3 linked regions of the Drosophila melanogaster genome follow. The protein of the gene in region 3 interacts with the protein of the main gene of each other region in a pairwise test. Each region holds a gene or a part of one and is shown on either strand. Other genes may lie near its edges.

Region 1 (7,157 bases), on a different chromosome or scaffold from region 3:
GAAACCATTTTAATTTTTCAACTATTCATGTACACAGTGTCCTCGTTGAATTTTCATGTCACAAAACGTTGAGAGACTTTCAGAGTGACCGTACTGGCTAGAGCTGGGACGAAAACCGATGCCGCCCGACTGTATCGATGGTTGCCGGAAAATTCGACGGTATCGATACATTCTCCAAACAAATTTATTGGTAAACAAAAACTTTACTTTCAAATTAAATTGACATTGACTACAATATGTGTACTTAGGCTGTATATATTTTATTAAATTTAAGATACAGAAGTTCACGAATGCGTCCATTCTTATCGGTTGTTTTTCCTTAAATAGTGGCAGTCCAAAAAATCTCCAATAGAATATACTAAAATATACTAAAGACCGCTTTAAAATAATGAATTGGTAGAAAACTTTGATTGACAAACTTTTGAGAAGCCGATTTAACCGCTTTTACGTCGCGTAAACCGTTTGCTTAGGAACTAGAAATAAAATTCAGTTTGTTCACTTTGTTGTATATTTGAGGAATTTATTTAGGTCACTGAGTATCGTTAATGATCTTAAATTAGAAGGAAATTAGATAAGTCAGCAGAAAAGCATATACGTTTACTAAGGAGTTTCCAAATCTAAAGCTCTCAAGGGTCCAGATTTTTAACAGAAGGTATACCTGAAAATAGTTTCCTTAAAAAAAAATCATATTGTGACTTTTAAAACAGTTTTGTTAAAATTTTATCAAGCTATAGCTTTTAAATGTTTTCTCCCTTGCTGAAAAGTGAAAATATTCATATATGTTGTACTCGTATATTAAAATCGTGTTATAAGTGGAGTTATTAAAGCAAGTTTAAACACATTAATTTTGCTTTAATAATTTAACGTAGTTCTTTCGTTTATTTTATAGCATTAGTGAAATTTATTTTAAAAGTATTTTTTCATTTCTATTTGGGAAATTATACATAGAACCATGTGTATGTACAGATATAATTTCCGAATCCGAACCTTCTTACCAAACGCAGATTACTCGACAATGCATCTAAATATATGTATAGTTAATGATATATTATTTATCGATTGTGCTCATTGGCACTACTCTCGTACATATTAGTAGAATATTCATCGATTGTCAAGTGGCTGTTACTTTCGATCATACCCGAGTCCATATTGCTATAGTCCTTGGACGCTTTACTTAAACCATCACTACCGCAATAGGGAAGACAACCAATTCTGCCTAAATCATTTGGATTATTGGAATCTAGAGGATTATCAGCACCCGGTGGCAAACTAGTGCAATGTTGCGTACAATTGTCGCAGGGATTCTTATCAGTGGGCACACCATTGCCGGATTGGCATGAATTTGGGGAGGAGGACGGTTCATATTTCCGGGGTCTCCCTCTCGACAAGTGCCGCCTTTTGACAAACTCATTATCGTCGACCATCCAAAACGAGCCAAAGTCATCTTCATAACGTACAAAGCACTTGTGTAAGGAAAGGTTCGTACGAATCGCATTCTTTATGATTGGTTGGACAAAACAAGAGCCCCATCAAGAGTCAGAAACAGGAAATTGCATTATCGTGAAAGGAAGAAAAAGTTCATTGAGATATTAAGGTTAGTTCATTTGTCTTCGGTCTTCTTATTTTCATTTTTCATAACACGCGAAATCCTGGATAATCTTCATCAGCTAAATTCCAGACAGACAGACAGACAGATCGATGAGCAGACGGACATCATTTTGGGTTTCTACCACTAAGAGATTAGAATCACTGTTTACAATTTGCGCTGTAAAAAGATCGTATAATGTCATATTATATCATTTCGATATAGGAGCATGCATGCAATGGCATATGTATATTTACTAACAGAGCAAAACGGAAGGAGTTTGGAGCAAAGTGAGTAGAATTAAACTATTTGAGACCCACATACCCAATGTTCATGGCTACAAAATAGTTAGTGTCCGGCGAATTGGTAGCACCGGTTAGATTGTTACCAATGCCAGCAGTGCGCTGCGGTCGTCTTTTGTAAAACTCAATCTCATCGACAGTCCAAACTGCTCCTTTCACATTCTCAACCCGCATAAAGCACTTATGAAGGGACAGATTGTGCCGGACTGCGTTCTAATGATATATATTATCAGTTAGCATAGGCCAAACTTAATTTGATTATTTTAAGACATATAAAAAGGAAATGGAATAAAACAGGATCTGACCTGTGTAGCTTACCTTGTTATATATCACTTGTATTTAGCTCTATTATACTCTTAAATATTGGCAAAGTAGTGGACAATGTGGAAAAGGTAGTATATAGTATATATACAGCGGACAAGCTAGGAACGCCAATCGGACAAACGAGAGTTATACGGACGGACAAATGGTCATATCAGATCATAGATATCATATCATATAGCATAAATACTCAAATTAAAGTTATGTTGCATAATATATAGATAATATGGAGGAAAGAAGATTTACATATATGGGGCATTTTACCTTCCACGTAGCTGCGTTGCGCCGGAAGTAGCAAAATGTGTTTTGGAACCAGTTGTAGATTTCGTTTAGGGTTAACTGCTTGTCAGGGGAGTCAATTATAGCCTATAAATAAAATATATATAAAAAAAATAAATTAATGTTATATTAGGAAATTGGTTTTTAAAATTACCTGTCTTATGAGGGAAGCATAAGTAAAAGGCGGTCGTACATCAGCATTCTTATAAAACTCTCTGTTTCGATGGATTTCTGCAAATTTAAATTCTTATTATATGTCTTCCAGAAGCACAAGACGAATAGTCATCAAGACGATCAGTCTACATAATTTACTTACCCTGTTGCACATCAAGACCTGCTCTTTCAAGCATATAGGGTAATCCTATATCCAAAAACCATTATTATTTTTATACAGTAATAGTAAATTTTTCCCAAACTTACCCCCATTTATGGAAAATGTATTTTTGTCGTGGTTTCTCTTTTTGATCGAGCACAAGTTGGTGGAATTAACCATTGGAAGATTCAGAGGACTCGGTGAATTTGTTTGTCGGATGGGTCGGCCTATGCTATTTACGGTAAGCGGACTCCGGCAAAACTTTCCCTCTCTTCCGGGCACGTCCTTATATTTATAACTTTTCATTATACCAATACTTACTCACATAAAAAGGGACTTACCTTCCTGTCGATTTTGGTGGGAGACAAAAGCTGCTTGGACAAATACAAGTGATGCATCATTGCCTGCAAGCGATCTCGTTCTTTTTGCAGGTGGGATTCCAGCTGGGAGACAACTTGCATTTGAACCCGTGCCTGTGCTGTTGATCGATCGTCCAAACCATGTTCCGTATTCAGATGCCTAGTTAGATAACATACCCTATATAATTATTTCATACCTCTAATTGTACTCCACCTACTTGACAAACGATGTGATGTCTTCCAAATCCATTTCGCAACCAGGCCAACGGCATATGCCATGAGCAAATAACGGATGATAGTACTTCCGCATGGCGAACTCATCGTGCATATAGCTGAAATCATTGTTGCACACCTCATTATCCTTCGACCGCAAGAATCTCTCTGCATCGGAGAACATGAGCTTCTCCTGCTCGGATATGAACTCGGGCACATTGTAGAAACCCAGATCGGGAACGGGAGCCATCATATGCTGACCCTGTATATGCATGTGTGGATTGGATTCGTGCTGCTGGGCCGCCGTTGAGGATTCATCGATGCTCGAGGCCGGTGAGCTGCACTTAACTACATGTGAGGCAAAGGTGATCGAGTTATTGAGAAAGCCAGTCGGCGGAAAACAATTGTTCTTAACAGCATCTGAGCATATGTCTGGTATGGAAATTTGGTGTCTCGACTTCACTGATATCTCCTTCTGAATCGAACTCTTAAAGTCCGATTCCTTGGCATCCTCGGAATACTCGTCGTCATGTATCCGATGCATGTTTTTAAAACTGAAATTTATAATCATTACCATTGATCCTTTACCCAAGAGATGGGCATATGCAAATACACAGAAATAATCTCTTTTTCGTCTGTCATTAGGAGTCATTTCAATAAAACTATCTTTACTCATATGCCGCCATTCCTGTAAAACTCCGAATCAGAGTGATAGTTTAAGGATTTCTATTTATTACGCCCTATTTAATTTCAGCTTAATTTTCCCGCACTATCATTGAGATGATACTTTCCCCAAAAGTTATGAATATTTAACAACTTGGCGCATATAAGATTTAACCCCTACTAAAGGCCCAGTGCTAAATGAATTCAGTGTAAATTAAATTAAACATTCTTTAAATGTTTGATTTAATTTTAAATATGTTACAAATAAAATGCCACGTCATCCGGTGCAGTTAATCTGTAAATATAAAGGTTATTCATAGAAAGCATTTATCATATTTAGGCGTATAACAAGTTTAAGATCTCACAAGGGGATTGCATAGGTGGCAAGGAAACCAGACACATCTTATTTTGCTAAAAAGAAACATATACAACATACATAACATAAGAAACATACAGACGGAACGGTCGGACAAACGGAAGGACATACAAACGGACGGACAAACGGACGGACAAACGGACGGACAAACGGACGGACAAACGGACGGACAAACGGACGGACAAACGGACATACAAACGGAAGGACATACAAACGGACGGACAAACGGATATAAAAACGGACGGACGTTTTGGCTATAGGATGAACTTAAATGGAAGAGTATATGAGTTTTGCAGATAGGACCATCTTACGATTGTTTTAATCAAATTCCTGTAATGAAAAATTATATAGCCACCTAAAATAAGAATAAATGTAAATGGTGAAATATGTAAGTATTAAATGTTTTATAGGAAAAGAAGAAAGATATAAAAGAGAAGAGAGAGGTATGGTTTTCATCACATTCGAAGATCCTGAAAAAATAGTATTATATTCGATATACATAAGCTTTTTGTGTAAAGGCGAATAAAGATAAATATATTGTTGGTATTGTGTAGATTTGCATTGTCTGTATTCGTTGGGGGCATTGATTATTCCAAGGGGTATATATGGGTAAATAAAATATTCATATTTCATATGTATACATATCATACAATTTCTGTATAAGAACTGTTTAAACTGGGACTTTTAAGATAAAGTTGTCTGCCTAGACTACTCAACAATATCTTAATTAACTTAACAGACTAGACTTAAATTTTGCGAATACATACATGCACATACAATTTTGCAGACAAAAGAGGATACAATTTTGCATGTACATTTACAATTAAATAACATTCACAGAGGTTTCCAAAGAACAATATTATATTTAATAACGGGCGAATTTTTTAATACAACTTTTCACATATATGTAAAATTAATTTAAACTTAAAAACTATCTTAAGAATATTTTTCGCTGCTACTCCTGAAAAGGTACGTCTACGACTACTGAATTTGCTAGAAATATGTGTACACATTTTTGCGCATGCGTTTCAAAATGCATCCTAAGGCTCCATTACACGTAACGATTTCAAAAATTAAAAACTTTTAAAAGTCAACATTAATTTGCCCAATTAATATTAATATTTAAAGCAATAAGAAAGTGATAAGTAGGGTTTTTTACGGAGGGGTAATTTCCAATAAATATATGATTTACCAATTTCCTTATATGAGAAAGTTTTATTCTTATTAACACAAAAGTTAAATTCCATCTAAAGACGAATATTTCCCATTTAAATAAGCCATTTTAAGCAATTGTGTTAAACTGTTTTATTGCGAAACTGTTTTATGCATTGGTATTTGGTAGAAAGAAAGTGATGTTTATAAAGTTGTAATGGCTGTATCATTTGTTGACAACGTTTTCTCTAGTATTCCTCATCTTCCCCCAGTTCGGTGGTGGAGTCGATGCCTACCTCCTCGTAGTCCTTCTCGAGGGCAGCGAGATCCTCGCGAGCCTCGGCGAACTCGCCCTCCTCCATGCCCTCACCCACGTACCAGTGGACGAAGGCCCTCTTGGCGTACATCAGATCGAACTTGTGATCCAGACGGGCCCAGGCCTCGGCAATGGCAGTGGTATTGGACAGCATGCAGACGGCGCGCTGCACCTTGGCCAGATCTCCGCCAGGAACAACGGTGGGTGGCTGATAGTTGATGCCCACCTTGAAGCCCGTGGGACACCAGTCGACGAACTGGATAGAGCGCTTGGTCTTGATGGTGGCAATGGCTGCGTTCACATCCTTGGGCACCACATCACCGCGGTAGAGCATGCAGCAGGCCATGTACTTGCCACGACGCGGATCACACTTGACCATCTGGTTGGCCGGCTCGAAGCAGGCATTGGTGATCTCGGCCACGGTCAGTTGCTCATGGTAGGCCTTCTCCACGGAAATGACGGGAGCGTATGTCGCCAGTGGGAAATGAATGCGTGGGTAGGGCACCAAATTGGTCTGGAACTCGGTCAGATCCACATTCAGGGCGCCATCGAAGCGCAACGAGGCCGTAATGGAGGAAACGATCTGGCCAATTAGGCGATTGAGATTCATGTAGGTGGGTCGCTCGATATCCAAGTTGCGCCGGCAGATGTCGTAGATTGCCTCGTTGTCAACCATAAACGCACAGTCCGAGTGCTCCAGCGTTGTGTGGGTGGTTAAGATCGAGTTGTATGGCTCGACCACAGCTGTGGACACCTAACAGGAAGTTCGATTATTAGATTGCCTTTCGAAGACTAATTTCCCATGTCTTTTACTAATTATGTTAATTGGTCTTCTATAAATGCTCAAGCAATAGATATAATATCCATATGCAAATGACATACTTGTGGTGCTGGGTAAATGGAGAACTCCAGCTTTGACTTCTTTCCATAGTCCACGGACAGGCGCTCCATCAGCAGCGACGTAAATCCAGAGCCAGTGCCGCCGCCGAAGGAGTGGAAGACCAGGAATCCCTGCAGACCCGTGCACTGATCCGCCAACTTGCGAATCCTGTCCAGGACCACGTCGACGATCTCCTTACCGATGGTATAGTGGCCGCGGGCATAGTTGTTGGCCGCATCCTCCTTACCGGTGATCAGTTGCTCCGGATGGAACAGCTGGCGGTAGGTTCCTGTCCGCACCTCATCCACCACAGTGGGCTCCAGATCCACGAACACGGCACGCGGCACATGCTTACCAGCTCCAGTCTCGCTGAAGAAGGTGCTGAAGGAGTCATCGCC
Region 2 (7,860 bases), 1.1 Mb from region 3:
GCGTGCAGAATTGTCTGCTTAACCAGGTTCTTTGGGAGCGGAGAGGGTTCGTTTAAAATTACGTAACAAAGTGTTTGAATATTTAACTCCATGCCCAAATCCCAGACAATCAATTCATCCATTCGATTTAAGACTAATTCTACAGATACACATTGGCCGGCACACACGCATATATACATACTACACGCACACGCATATGTAAATCAAGTGAAACTAGCGACTTTTGAACAATTTTAATTTGGTAGGCCCAGAAAACCCATCTAGAAAGGACTCTGGTGGATTGGGCAACCTGCTGGTTGACTATATCCTGACATATGGGCACACAACAACAATTCGCTAAGAAAAAACACTTTCGCTAGACACGCACGTTCTGCTGCATCGATTACGAATTAGGTAAAACAAAAAATTTAATTACAATAGGTAAGGTAAGGTAAGGTAAGGTGTGCATGCGGGGGGGTGTGGTGAAAGGTCTTAGGTTACGGAAACACATGTTCGTAGGTAAACTGCAGTATCGTTAAGTTAGCGAGTAAACTAGGGCATAAACTAAATCGTAAACATAATATTACATCTTTAAATTACAAACATAATTACATTGTGTGTCCGGCAGATAGACCCTCTGTCCCTTCCATCCGGTTCGGTTCGATTAGGTTTGGTCCGGTTCGGCCCGTCTGCATCCCAACAACAACAACAACACGATCCCCACAGTTAATGTACACGCTACCACATGCAGCATCCCATGCGTATAGAAATCATGATATGCGACCGGCCAGCGGCAAGGATCGATCCACCATTGTTGTCCAGAACAGAACGGAATAGAACAGAGCGGAGCGAAGCGCAGTGATCGCCGTAACCGTAACCGTAACCGTTGCCGTAGCCGTAACCGTAGCCGTAACTGGAGGCGGAGGCGCAGGCGGCGCCAGAGCCCCGCCCACATTCAATCGTTCTTGGTCTGACAGTAGAGCTCCTTGAGCGACTTCAGCTCCTCGATGAGCGCTTTGTTTTGGTTCTCTAGCACCGCCACTCGATTCTCCAGGCACTTGATGTACTCCTTCTTCTTGCGCCGGCACTCACGCGCCGCCTCCCTGTTCTTCTGCAGCCGGATCTCGCGCTTACGGGTCTGATCCTCCGCTATCCCGCTGTTGTCTGCAAAAGGAAAAAGTTTTCAAGGATTGGATAATCAGTCATTCAGCTGGCTGTAAGCGATGTGTGTGTGCACATCTCCCAAAGCGGAACTCTCTGTAACTCGAACTGAACTGGATTTCATAGTCATTGATGGTTTGGATTTGGTTTCACTTCGATGTCAACACAAATTGCATGCAAAAATGATTGAACACACCATCCATGTTCAACTAAACAATTTGAATAAAAACGAAAATAATGCCAGCATGGAATGGAGCATTATCAAAGTTATCAATTACAATCATTTGAGTCCATATGCTGCAGTTAGGCGATGAAGCAGTTCCATGGACGCTGATTCATCGCCTACATTCAGCTCGATAACTCGATAACTTCAATTTGATAGACCCTCGATTCCAGTTCGATTTACGAGTGGTCCTGCCAAGTCGCAACTAAAGGCTAGTTTTGGAGCGAGGCTATTACTGGTGTTGTAGGACATCCGATTGGACAGGTAGTACGTGGGATCCAATTGCATCAGGGAGCTGTTCGCCGCATTGCCCCCCGCTCCGGTCCCCGCCAGCTGGGAATTGAGCACGCCGTCGGACATGGGAAGCGATGCGCCTGGGATGGGGTTCGATTCGATTTGATTCGAGTTCGATTCCGATTCGAGTTCGGTTTGGGGTTTTGATTGTCGTTTGTTGTTGTTGTTGTTGCAGTTGTTGTTCAGAACATTATCGAATTTTATATATCGTTTTTTTATTTTTGTGGGTTGGGTGGAGGAAGGCGTTCGAAAAGAAAACAATGAAAAAAAAACAACAATAAAAAAATTATAAGAAAACATATTTTCCATTTTTCAGTTTTCAATTGGAAGCTTTTGAAAATTCGGATTGGTTTTTTTTTGTTGGTTGGTTTATGAACTTGAGTGGTGTGTGCGAGCGAGAACGGCGAGCGAGCGAGCGAGATAGGTAGATTGGTTAGTCAAAGAGAGTGGAGAAAAGCTTTTGATTAACGGTTAAAGTACTGTTAGGTGAGACGTTTGCTTGTACTTCTTCATTACTATTTAATATTTGGCATAATGGGTTGTGTGTGTAACAACGGCAACAACAACAACAACAGCGATTACAGCAACAACAACGACAGAGAGGCGGCGAAAGAGAGAGAGAGGGGAGGGCGATAGAGAGAGAGATAGAGAATTGTGGGCAAGAAGACAGCAGCAATAGTTCAAATGCTTAAATTATTGTAAATATTAATCATTATTCTTGCTGTCTTCCCTCCCTGTCTATGTACATATGTGTGAGTGTGTGTGTGAGTTGGTGAAGTTGTGCGCGAGTGTGTGTGTGTGCGAGTGAGAGGTTTATTTACAGGGGAGAATTGGAAAATCGTGGAATCTCTACAACGCGTCCTCTTTTTCTGCTCCTTCTCGGGCCAAGTTTTCCGGCCTTTTGTTTTTCTTTCATTATTTTCACTTCGTTAAAGCAACACCAACAACAACATCAACTAAATGATAATGGGGGTGGTGGAAAGGGGCGGGGTTCCCGCTTGTACGGCTGCCCTAAATGGCATTCCTAATGATGTACAAAGGACAAGGCTGGCAGTCCTTCACAATCTATGTGTTGTATGTACAAATACAGTTGAGATCCAAACAAAAACACAATGTTAGCTAACTGGGTTCCATTAGTTTCTACCTCTTTCCTCTGTTTCATTATATTTTTAAGAAACTATGTAAGAAAATAAACAACCCTCTATTCTGTTCTGGTTGAAAATAATAGTTTCAAATGGAAAGCTTCGGAAATGTATATTTAATGCTTTTTTTTTATTCTGTCCACATTTTCGTTACTTTTTAGCTGGGCAAGGTTTTGGCTAGAGAATCTTATTGCACTAGGAGAACCATATATTGCTTTATAAACAATAGCAACGTAATGAATGTTGCAAATGTTTTCCTTTTGTATATTTACAATATAGATTTCATAAGGATCCAGTGAGCAACTTGGACCTTAGACTTTTCTGATAAAATTGTAAATGCACTTTTTGTGGCAAGAGTATAATTTTACAGTACATTCCTCTCGTCTAATCATTTCGATATGGATCATTTGCTAAAGCGCACTACAACGAGTGTTAACAGTGTTACTTAGCCAACAGCTACTGTACAAGATGAACGGGAAAGGTGATCGATCATGGGGTTACAAACACTGAGAATGGAATGGTGTCTGATGGACTGACCGATTCCCCAGCGTTATGAGAGTTGCTGGGAATGGTCGAAAGATTGCCAGGCGCAAGTGCATCGTGAAATGAACGATGAGTGGCGATCAGCTCGACGATGCATTGGATTGTTAGGCGATGTGGTGGTTTAAAGAGCGACAGAGATGTGTTCGAGTGGGTGTGTGACTGGTGGAGAGATCGTCCCCCGGATTTACCGCTCATGTCCGGACCGCTGATCTCGGTGAAGATCTTATTGTACGACGGCCGTCGCGTCAGCTCGCTGCGGTGGTGCTGGGAATCGTCGTCCGACAGACTCTCGTCGCTGTCCTCCGGGTGCTGCGTGTTCGGTTCGGGCTTGATCTTACACGGAAAGGTTGGAGGGATCTGTGTGCGAGGTGATCGAGTTCATTAGTAGAGTTCGGTTCGGCGGGTGCTCCGTGCTCCCCGTTCTACGCACTTTGTTACGCACTTGCACTGCATTGCCAGGCGTCGTGTGGATGACCGTCGAGTTCGGCGGCTTGGCCACGTAGACCACCTTCTGCATCGCTGTGGCGGCGGCCAGCGCCTGTTGCTGCTGCTGGGTTCCAGCTGCTGTCTGTATGACTCCCGAGGGATTGGCCTGTATCACGGACTGCACCTGCGGATATAGAAGGTCACTACATTAGAAACGCTCGCGGTCAGGGTTATTGGCCTCAACGGGACTGACATAGTAAGTTTTGTAGGCTGTAGTGTAACTAACAAACACCGCAAATTCTCGATATTCTAATGAATAAAATTAAAAGTCCTGTGAATGTGTAAGTGTAGTCGACATCCTAATAACAGCTATATGGTCTATATCAATTTTTGTGAAGCTTAACTATAAAGATTTATTATATGTATTATGTAGTCCATATAGTCATACCCCATTTAATATATACATTGGTAAACGAAATCGATTTTAGGGATGTAGAATAAGAAACGTATTGAAATGATTGAAAAATGATGGATGCATAATCTATGCAGTAAACTTTATAAAACTTTATAATAAACAGTATTGTACTTGTTTGTTTGCTATTAGTTAAAGAACACTAAGCTGCCTTATTTCCGGTAATAACTATCCCTATCTACACTCAGTTCCCATACCAAAGGAGGCTTTGAAGTGCTTCTGCACTAACATCCTTGGTAGCCACTTCTGGCTGGGATCCGTAACACCTGACACTCGACAGTTGACACCAAGCACCCGGTCCCCAAATGCTCACCTGCAGTCCGTGCTGCGCCAGCGTCTGGATGGGGTATTGTATGTTGCAGTTGGCGGTGGTGGTCAGCACGGAGGACACTCCGCCTCCCTGGGCGTTGTTCGTCGCACCCGTTGGACCGCCGGCCGTTGTACTTTGTGGGTTCTGTTGCTGCTGCTGGGGGTTACCACCGCCGCCGCCTCCTCCTCCTCCACCGCCGCCGCCCACCGCTGCCGCCGCCTGTTGGGCAACGACATCGACCACGTCATTGGAGCCCGATGCCGCCGACGAGTTGCCGTTCTCCTCGACGATGCTGTTGTCCATGTTGCCGATCCTGGCGATCTTCAGCAGCACCGAGACGCTCTCCGACAAGTGCTTCAGTTTGGCTACCGTTTCCGCTTCAATTTGGCCAGCTTGAAGACGTTTCTACAATTGGATTGGATTGGATTGCTTTTGGATTACGCTGTCAGTTTTACGGTTTATCAATTTGTCATCCAGTTTGTGATACCGATTCAGATCGGAATCCGTTTCAGTTTAAGTTTCAATTTCTGTTTCTGGGCGGGATTGGCATGGGCTCGTTTTTGTTTTGGGCCGATGACGAGTGTGCGTTGTGATGACGATGATTATATTGTGGCTGTGGTGCCGATTGCTGACTGATGGAACTCAAGTTCCCCCAAAGGAAAACAACAACAACAGCAACAATAACAACAACACCGAGTCGTGAGTATTTCGGTTGAATGACGTCATGACAACGTTGCGCGCGCTTGTGTGCGTGTGCGTTTGTGTGTGTGCCAAGAGGCAACAAAAAAAACAGAAAAACACACAGCACACAGCGAAAAAATCAACTTACTTTCTGATGACATCACTAAAAACGTTGCTGCTGAGAGGCTTTTGTTGTTGTTGCCGTTGCTCACTCTCTCTCTCTCTCACTCCTTCCTGGGCGCGTGTGTGTGTGTGTACGCGCGTTGCACGCTGCGCTGGCAACTTGTTGAAAAGTCGCGGTGTCCAACCAAATAAATATTTATGTATAAAGCAGCAGAGTAAGCGAATCGAAGTTCGAACCCTAAAACTTCAGATACGTTTCGAATGGCATCGCGCAAAGGTTTCGTATTTGTTTGCTCTTTTTGGGAGAACCCCACAGAACACACACGCACACTTAAGCACAGCAGCGAATTGGTGCGACAAGTTGGCAGCACGCACACACACAACACTCTCTCGCTCTCTCTCTCTCCCGTTCTCGCTCGCTCTCACTGCCTGTTGTTATCGTTGCTTACGTTCTTTTTTCTATTTGCAGCACCGAAACGCGTTTCTTTTGGCGGCAAAGACGCTGGCTTGGCGGCTTTCGAACGACAATGTACGCGTTTTCCACGGCAATGCGATCGTGCGCAGCGATTTATTGATAAAGACCGTTTTTGCGCAAAAATCGTTCGCTTATTGCTGGCTCGCTCGCCTAGTGATGTAAAATAACATCGATGCATCCAACAGCGATGTTTTGGGGCGATGTGTTTCGATGTTTTGCTTGATATCGATGTCACACATCGGCTGTTTCACAGAAAACTGCTCGATAAAGTGTGACCCTGGCTGCGGAATGAGCAACAAGCTACAGCAACAATAAGGCTCCACACTACCACACCGGTTGAAACCTTGGCTAAGCTCGTGGTGCGGAGCTTGGCTATAACTGCGGGAACTTTTAAAACTTCATTTTGTTATGGTTTTTTTTTTAAGTTTTTAATACTTAGATGAAGGTTGTAAATCAATTTTCCTCGGTTTTATTTATTCATCTACAAGTATGTAAATTATTTCAACTTCATATCTCTATTTTCCATTTGTAACCGAAATTAATTCCAAGTCCATTGTTGGCCGTTTAATGAATCACTAATTGTATTGTTATTCTATTAATTCAACAAAAAGAGGTGTTCAGTAGCACTAAAAACTAACAATTAGCAATCGCAAAATAATTACTTTTTCATAATAGTTTATAGAACCGCAGATTTTAGCGCGCCTAAAAACTAGAAACTTTGGTCACAGAAAAAAATTGTTGCTCTTTTTTTTATTTCGCTACCACTAAAAACAGCCTGCTCACATAAGTGCAAAAAACAATTAGCCTAAATGATGTTCGCGGCTAATTACTTTACAGCCGAATAACTATTGGCTACATGAGCTGGCCATGACGTCATCGCGAGAAAACTAGCCGGAAAGTTTGAGGCGTAAAAACCTTAAAGCCTTAAAAACAGACTCGAGATTATTTGAAGCCTGCAACGGGCTCTCAATAAATAGTTAATTAGTGCAATGACTGTGCCCCCGTTTACTTTCCCTCTGTGAATTATAATTTCCAATTCCATTTGCATTATTTAGGCTGCTTTTTCAATCGACTTCCCTTTGAGTGACATAATAATTGCCATTAATTACGACGTCGCACGAACCCTCAAACGCCTCCAAGCCCCTTCGCCACCCACCACCCATCACCCAGCACCCACCTCACCCCTCCCCCTTGTGGACCCCAAATGCCGGACTGTCTGAACCACCGACCTCGTGGACTGACTCACTGTCCAAATCCGCATTACCTCCGCGCGCCAGCTGACATCACTGGCTAATGAAGTTTGCCCGGTGGCCGCAGAAAGGAATTGCAAATGCGGTTCCCATATTACACTTCTAATACACTTATATACATATATACATACATATGTACATATGTACATACATATGTACTGAGTACACCTGCGGTCAGCACAATAGCCGTTGAGAGCCCGACCATAAATTGGCTGAAATATGCGGCTTGTGTTTTGGCTGTTAAAACGGACTTGCATACCAAAATACACACCGCCTACACAGAAAGAAATTAAGATCGATTTCCATTTGAAGTTTTGCTTGTACTACGGTCAATTCAATTCAATTCAATTCAATTCAAAATGTATCACAATAATTTAAACCCAACTTTAAAATTTCATATATTAATTCAAACTATAAACACCATAACCAAAGCTGTTAATTTTAAGTTATTATTGCTTCATCAATAAAAATAGTTTTTCAAGTTATTAATTTTAAAATAATAATAAGCAAAAAAAGGGCAATTTGCCTAACTATAGTTAAGGTAATAAAGAATGTCGTTTCTATTAACTTTATCTTGCGTGAATAGTTGCTTAAATATTAATATTTGGCAAACCGCTTTTTCTTGCTCTTGAGATAAAATCAGAAATCTAAACAAGAAACGGTTAAAAAAAACTTAAAAAATTCCCCAATAAAAAGTTAGAATAGAATTTCGATATACTGAGAAACCAATAAAAACACCTTCATTTGCGAAGCTATAAACATATAAATATCGCTCATACGA
Region 3 (4,712 bases):
TTAGGGGCTTATAATTTCTCGTTAACAAAAAAAAAACTGAATTGAGACCGGGCAATTATTAAAATAACTAAAATTACTCGGCATTTTAGTTATCCAAAAATAGTGGAAACTCATTTTTATCATCCTTTGGGATTTCGTAAAAAATCTATAATAAAAACACACACACATCTTTTGTAGCAAACTCAACATTCTGACCTTTTGTTCTGATTTCCATGCTCTTTCAAATACATACATATATATTTGTGCACGTTCTCGGCCTTTCTAAATTATATTACTGCAAATCAATTGCAAACGCACGATTACGGCTATTTAATAGTAATTTGTTATAATTTGCATATCGTTTAAAAGCACTTAACGAGAGGAAAAAAGCAAAACTAAAGCTAGGCAACAAAATCAATTAGATTGTTGCATGCAAAACAAGGTTGACGGCACGCGGGGGGCGTGGCAGTCAAGGGTATTCTGTTGACAGTTTTGACTGGGAAATATGTTGAAAATAAGCGAACACTTGGCTAATCTGGCCAATAAGTTGAGGGGGGGGGGGGGGGATTGAAAAGGAAAAAACAGAAAGAGAGACATATACAGGTAGAGGAAGAAAGAGAGAGTGAGAGACAAAACCTAAGACACCTGCCTCAGACTCGAACTCACCTGTATTTTTCGAGTCTTCGCCTATCAAGCCAGCATTTTCCCCGTTCGAGCCGCACAATTTACGGTGGTTGTTGGTGCGGTTGTTGTTGGCCGTTATCTATTAGCCAACAGCCACAACAAAAACGACAAAGACAACAGGAAAAACAACCACGCTTAGCACTCAATATATGATATATCCCGGTCGCGGGGAAAATCGTAAATTTAAAGTGGTGCGAACTCAGGGGTCAGATGGATAGGTGTAAATTGGTTTCGAGATCCCCTTCAGTGTATAAACAAAAGTCCACCGTTTGGGTTTCAAATTAATACCAACCGAATCAAATTTATCAGCTAACATTTATTGGTGTGCATACTATGAAATAATTTCTATTCTCTATAGCCATAAAAGCCCTTTTCGTTTAATAAAATAGCTAATACAGCTGAACTTTGGTAAAGTTTATAAATAGAACTGGTTTTAATGGCAATTTGTATACTATAATTACTAGCTTCCTTTATTTCCTTTAATATTCTATGCAAATTTACTAGAGCTTAAATACATATATATTAGCTAGATTTTGATTGCTTTTAATTTGTACGTCAGGAACACGTATAAAAAAGCCTTGATTGGTATTTTGAAACATTTATATCTCGCATTATATCTTGTCTTTCTTTTTTCTTGCTATTTTGAATATCAGTTGTTCATTAGATTTCACTTTCCCATCCAGTCCAGTCCCTGAAATATCACAAATATCATATTGCTATATATATATATATATATATTCTCTATATGTATCCCCGCTTTGCTCTTCTCATATTACTTGATATTGCAATAAAGTGTCTATATACATATACATATATTCCGCACTTGGTGCTATTCTTCAAGATCCATCTGAATCTGTATGTCTGTCTCATGAACTAGTCTCTTCCTTTAGTTAGCAACTTAATTATTTCTGCTATATATATATATATATACTTTATATATTCCCGATGTAGCCTTATCCTTGAAATACAGCTTAAACCATATTGCTATACAGATTCATTGTATGTTTATGATATATGATCAGCGACTTACCGCAATCATCGCTGTCGCTGTCGTCGATTGTGCTGGCTTGATCGCCGCTAATGCTGCTGCCGGGTCCTCCGAGCAACATGTTGCCGTTGCCACTGCCATTGTTGTTGTTGCTGCTGCTGCTGTTGCCGCTGATGATGTTGCTGTTGGCACTAGCACTGTTGTTGTTGTTGTTGTTGTTGTTACTGGCACTGCTGCTGTTGTTGTTATTGTTGTTGTTATTGCCACCGTTACCGCCCAATTGTTGCAGCATCAGCGGTGACCGGGATCGCTCATCGTGCATGGGATGATGCAGATGCGGATGGTGCTGCTGGTGGCTCAGGTGGCTTAAGTGGCTCAAGTGCTGGGCAGGATCACCGGTCAGCCCGTGGCCATGCCGATGCAGTGCCTCCAATCGTTCCCTCTCAAGCTGCAGATGATGCGGGTGGGGATGTTGCTGTTGCTGCTGTTGCTGTTGCTGCTGCTGCAGCACGGCGTAGTGGGCGGGCGGAAAGTGGGCGAGCAGATGGGGCGGCATGGGGTGGTGGGCATAGGGATTGTTGCCAGGCGGCGAATGTCTCTCCCTATAGTGTTCCCGCTCCCGCTCCCTCTCCCTTTCCCGTTCAAAGCGCAGCAACTGCTGCTGTTGCACGATGTACTGTTGCAGGGCAGCCTGCTGATGTTGCTGCTGCTGCTGCTGCTGCTGGTGATGATGGTGTTGTTGCTGCTGCTGGTGATGGTGGTGATGCTGGGCGACCAGCGATTGCTCCCGCTCCGAGTCCGTCGGACTGCCACGCCCACCGCCGGAAGAGGCGGCTGCCAAGGCGGCCGCCGCTGCTGCTGCCGCCGCCGATGCGGCCGCGGCTCCTGCCAAAATATCGGTGATCATAAAGCGGGATCGCGTCGCCGTTGTGGCCGTGGCTGTCGTCGTGTTGCTGCCGACGGCCGGGGAAGCTGGACGCGGCATACCGCCGCCGACGGCAGCGGGATGATGAGCGGTGGCACTCGGTGCACTGCCAACGGGAGCTGCCGTTGTTGCGGACATTTCCGGTGGCATTGTGGTCATGTGTGGTTAGCCGACGACTCCGCTGCTGCACCTGCACTTTGCACCGAAAAAAAACAAACAGCTATGTATGTATGTATGGGTGACGCGAGTTTTTAGCACTTCTTCAGTTAATTGTTGGTAGCTGCTCGCACTTATTTCTTAAACTTGACAAGTTCTTGAACTCCGCTTTCGATTGCTCTTGCGTTGGTTAATGTTTTCTTGGCCCAACTGGGTTTTTAACGCAAATGTCGCTGAGGTGCGCACACTTTGTGATGTTCAATAGCGGAGCAACAACCGCTCGCCTTTGGCTTTCGACCGAAACTGAAACTTGCTGCCAGCAACAGCAACTGGCAGCAGCAGCAGCAACAACAGCAGCAGCGGCAACAGCAGCAACAACAAGAAGGCAGCAAAAACCAGTTGAGCCACCGCTTCCCATCAGCTGCCACCTGTCGTCGTCTCTTTTTCGCTCATTGACCTGGCCAAGTGGCGGTGTGGTGAGTTTCCCTCTCTGTCGCCCCGCGACTGCCTCTCGCTCGCACCCACGGCTGCCCACATTTATTGCCCGCACTTATTGGTCGTAATTGGCAGCAATTGACATTCATTAGGCTTCAATCAGCGGGACTCAAGTTGGCGGGTGTGGTGACTTTCCGCCGGCAATGGCCGCACGTCTAACGGTTATTTTTATGGCACGTGGTGGAGTTGGCTGTTTCGAACTACAACCGCACAAAAAGTATTGCAATTAACTTCATATCCTTAAATAAATAGGGTTTATTAAGTCTTGTCAATTTATATAAAAAGTTATTTGTACTTATTTGATTTCTATAAATCTGAACAAAAACGTGTTCGTTATCTTTGAGGGTTAAATATAGTCTTAGGGGTCAGTTGGTTATTTCATATTATTTTAGCTGCTTTCAAACAAAATTTGAACAGTGTTAATGGTAAACTTTTATTATAATAGCGAGTATTATTAAAAAATATGTAGCCATGCATCTTTAATATACTAATAACTTGTTATCTAACTTTCCAACTAAATATAGTTTGTACAGGAATGACAGAACATTTATGCAATATGCCTCCAGCAGTAGCAAAATCATACTGTTTTAGAAGGTTTCCCTGTTCAATACGACTTCCCATAAACTTTTTATGGCAGCTTGAAACTCAACACGATTATGGCAGCAGGGCAGCTGCCGCCTTTGCTTTTGCTTCTAATGTTGCTTTTGCTGTTGTATCTGATGGACAGATATCCGGATGGCAAGATGGATGGATGGGATGCTGTCAACCCTGTTTTGTGGCCAGGCCACGCCCCCTTAAACTGGTTTGTGCGAGCGAGAGGCAGCCGGCACGACATCTGTCTGTCTCGCTTTGGCCCAAGGGCTGGCCGCCTGTGGCTCGCCTCGGGCCCTCTCGCTCTGCGTACTTTGTTGTTGGTGTCTTTTGTTATTTTTGCGCTTGTTAACACTTTTTGTTTGGCATTTAAACAGTAAATTGGCAGCAGTTAAATGCTGCACGCTTTCCTCTCTGTCGCACGCGATAGTGCCCTCTCTTTCCACTCACTTCTGGTTTACTTCTTGTATCGATGTCAATTTGCTGCCTAATGTGCAAGTGAATGGGTCTCAGGGGGGGGGTGGCTATCCAAGAGGGGGCTGTATACCACTGGGGGTTCCTACCACCTCATTCCTGTGGACTAACAAGCGTGCTCCGGTGGGCAGGAGCTACTCGAGGAGGCAGTCTTTGGCGCCTGGAGGCGGATGCTCCCGCTGCCACATGTTTATTGTATAGTTAGCTTTTCAAAATGGCCTCACGGCAGCAATTGTCGGGTATTACTGGCCATTGGTATGTATCCGAGTTCCTGTCGCCAAACGTTTCCAGGAATAGAGTATCGTAATCATAGATATATCCCAAGCATTTACGACCTGACAAACGATCGGGCTGGAGCAGGAAAACGAAGACGTGACCGGGATCATTGGGTACAGTTTGTATTGCCTCTGAATAAACCAT

The links.
Region 1: the proteins of B-H2 (region 3) and FoxP interact in a two-hybrid assay, tested with the Drosophila melanogaster proteins (one large-scale study listed by BioGRID).
Region 2: the proteins of B-H2 (region 3) and CrebB interact in a two-hybrid assay, tested with the Drosophila melanogaster proteins (one large-scale study listed by BioGRID).

What each region holds. Positions count from the first base shown.
Region 1 is NT_033777.3:9,725,518-9,732,674, forward strand, and holds FoxP (forkhead box P), read right to left. Parts: upstream 5,356-7,157; 5' UTR 3,917-5,355; coding exon 3,378-3,916; intron 3,320-3,377; coding exon 3,142-3,319; intron 3,086-3,141; coding exon 2,908-3,085; intron 2,849-2,907; coding exon 2,804-2,848; intron 2,719-2,803; coding exon 2,642-2,718; intron 2,575-2,641; coding exon 2,473-2,574; coding exon of another isoform or gene 2,410-2,472; exon of another isoform or gene 2,101-2,409; coding exon of another isoform or gene 1,891-2,100; exon of another isoform or gene 1,634-1,890; intron 1,497-1,633; coding exon 1,053-1,496; 3' UTR 503-1,052; downstream 1-502. Other genes in the region: hyd (hyperplastic discs), read right to left, coding at 1-8; alphaTub85E (alpha-Tubulin at 85E), read right to left, coding at 5,812-6,633, 6,762-7,157.
Region 2 is NC_004354.4:18,369,126-18,376,985, reverse strand, and holds CrebB (Cyclic-AMP response element binding protein B), read right to left. Parts: upstream 6,003-7,860; 5' UTR 5,804-6,002; exon of another isoform or gene 5,380-5,803; intron 4,956-5,379; 5' UTR 4,854-4,955; coding exon 4,554-4,853; intron 3,953-4,553; coding exon 3,773-3,952; intron 3,700-3,772; coding exon 3,531-3,699; coding exon of another isoform or gene 3,289-3,530; exon of another isoform or gene 2,890-3,288; intron 1,738-2,889; coding exon 1,600-1,737; intron 1,144-1,599; coding exon 935-1,143; 3' UTR 169-934; downstream 1-168. UniProt on the Drosophila melanogaster protein: Isoform E is a PKA-dependent transcriptional activator. Isoform J is a direct antagonist of activation by isoform E in cell culture.
Region 3 is NC_004354.4:17,312,893-17,317,604, reverse strand, and holds the start of B-H2 (BarH2), read right to left. Parts: upstream 3,025-4,712; 5' UTR 2,736-3,024; coding exon 1,694-2,735; intron 1-1,693. UniProt on the Drosophila melanogaster protein: B-H1 and B-H2 are regulated by members of the wg signaling pathway; wg and dpp. B-H1 and B-H2 are coexpressed and functionally required in R1 and R6 receptor cells and primary pigment cells for normal eye development.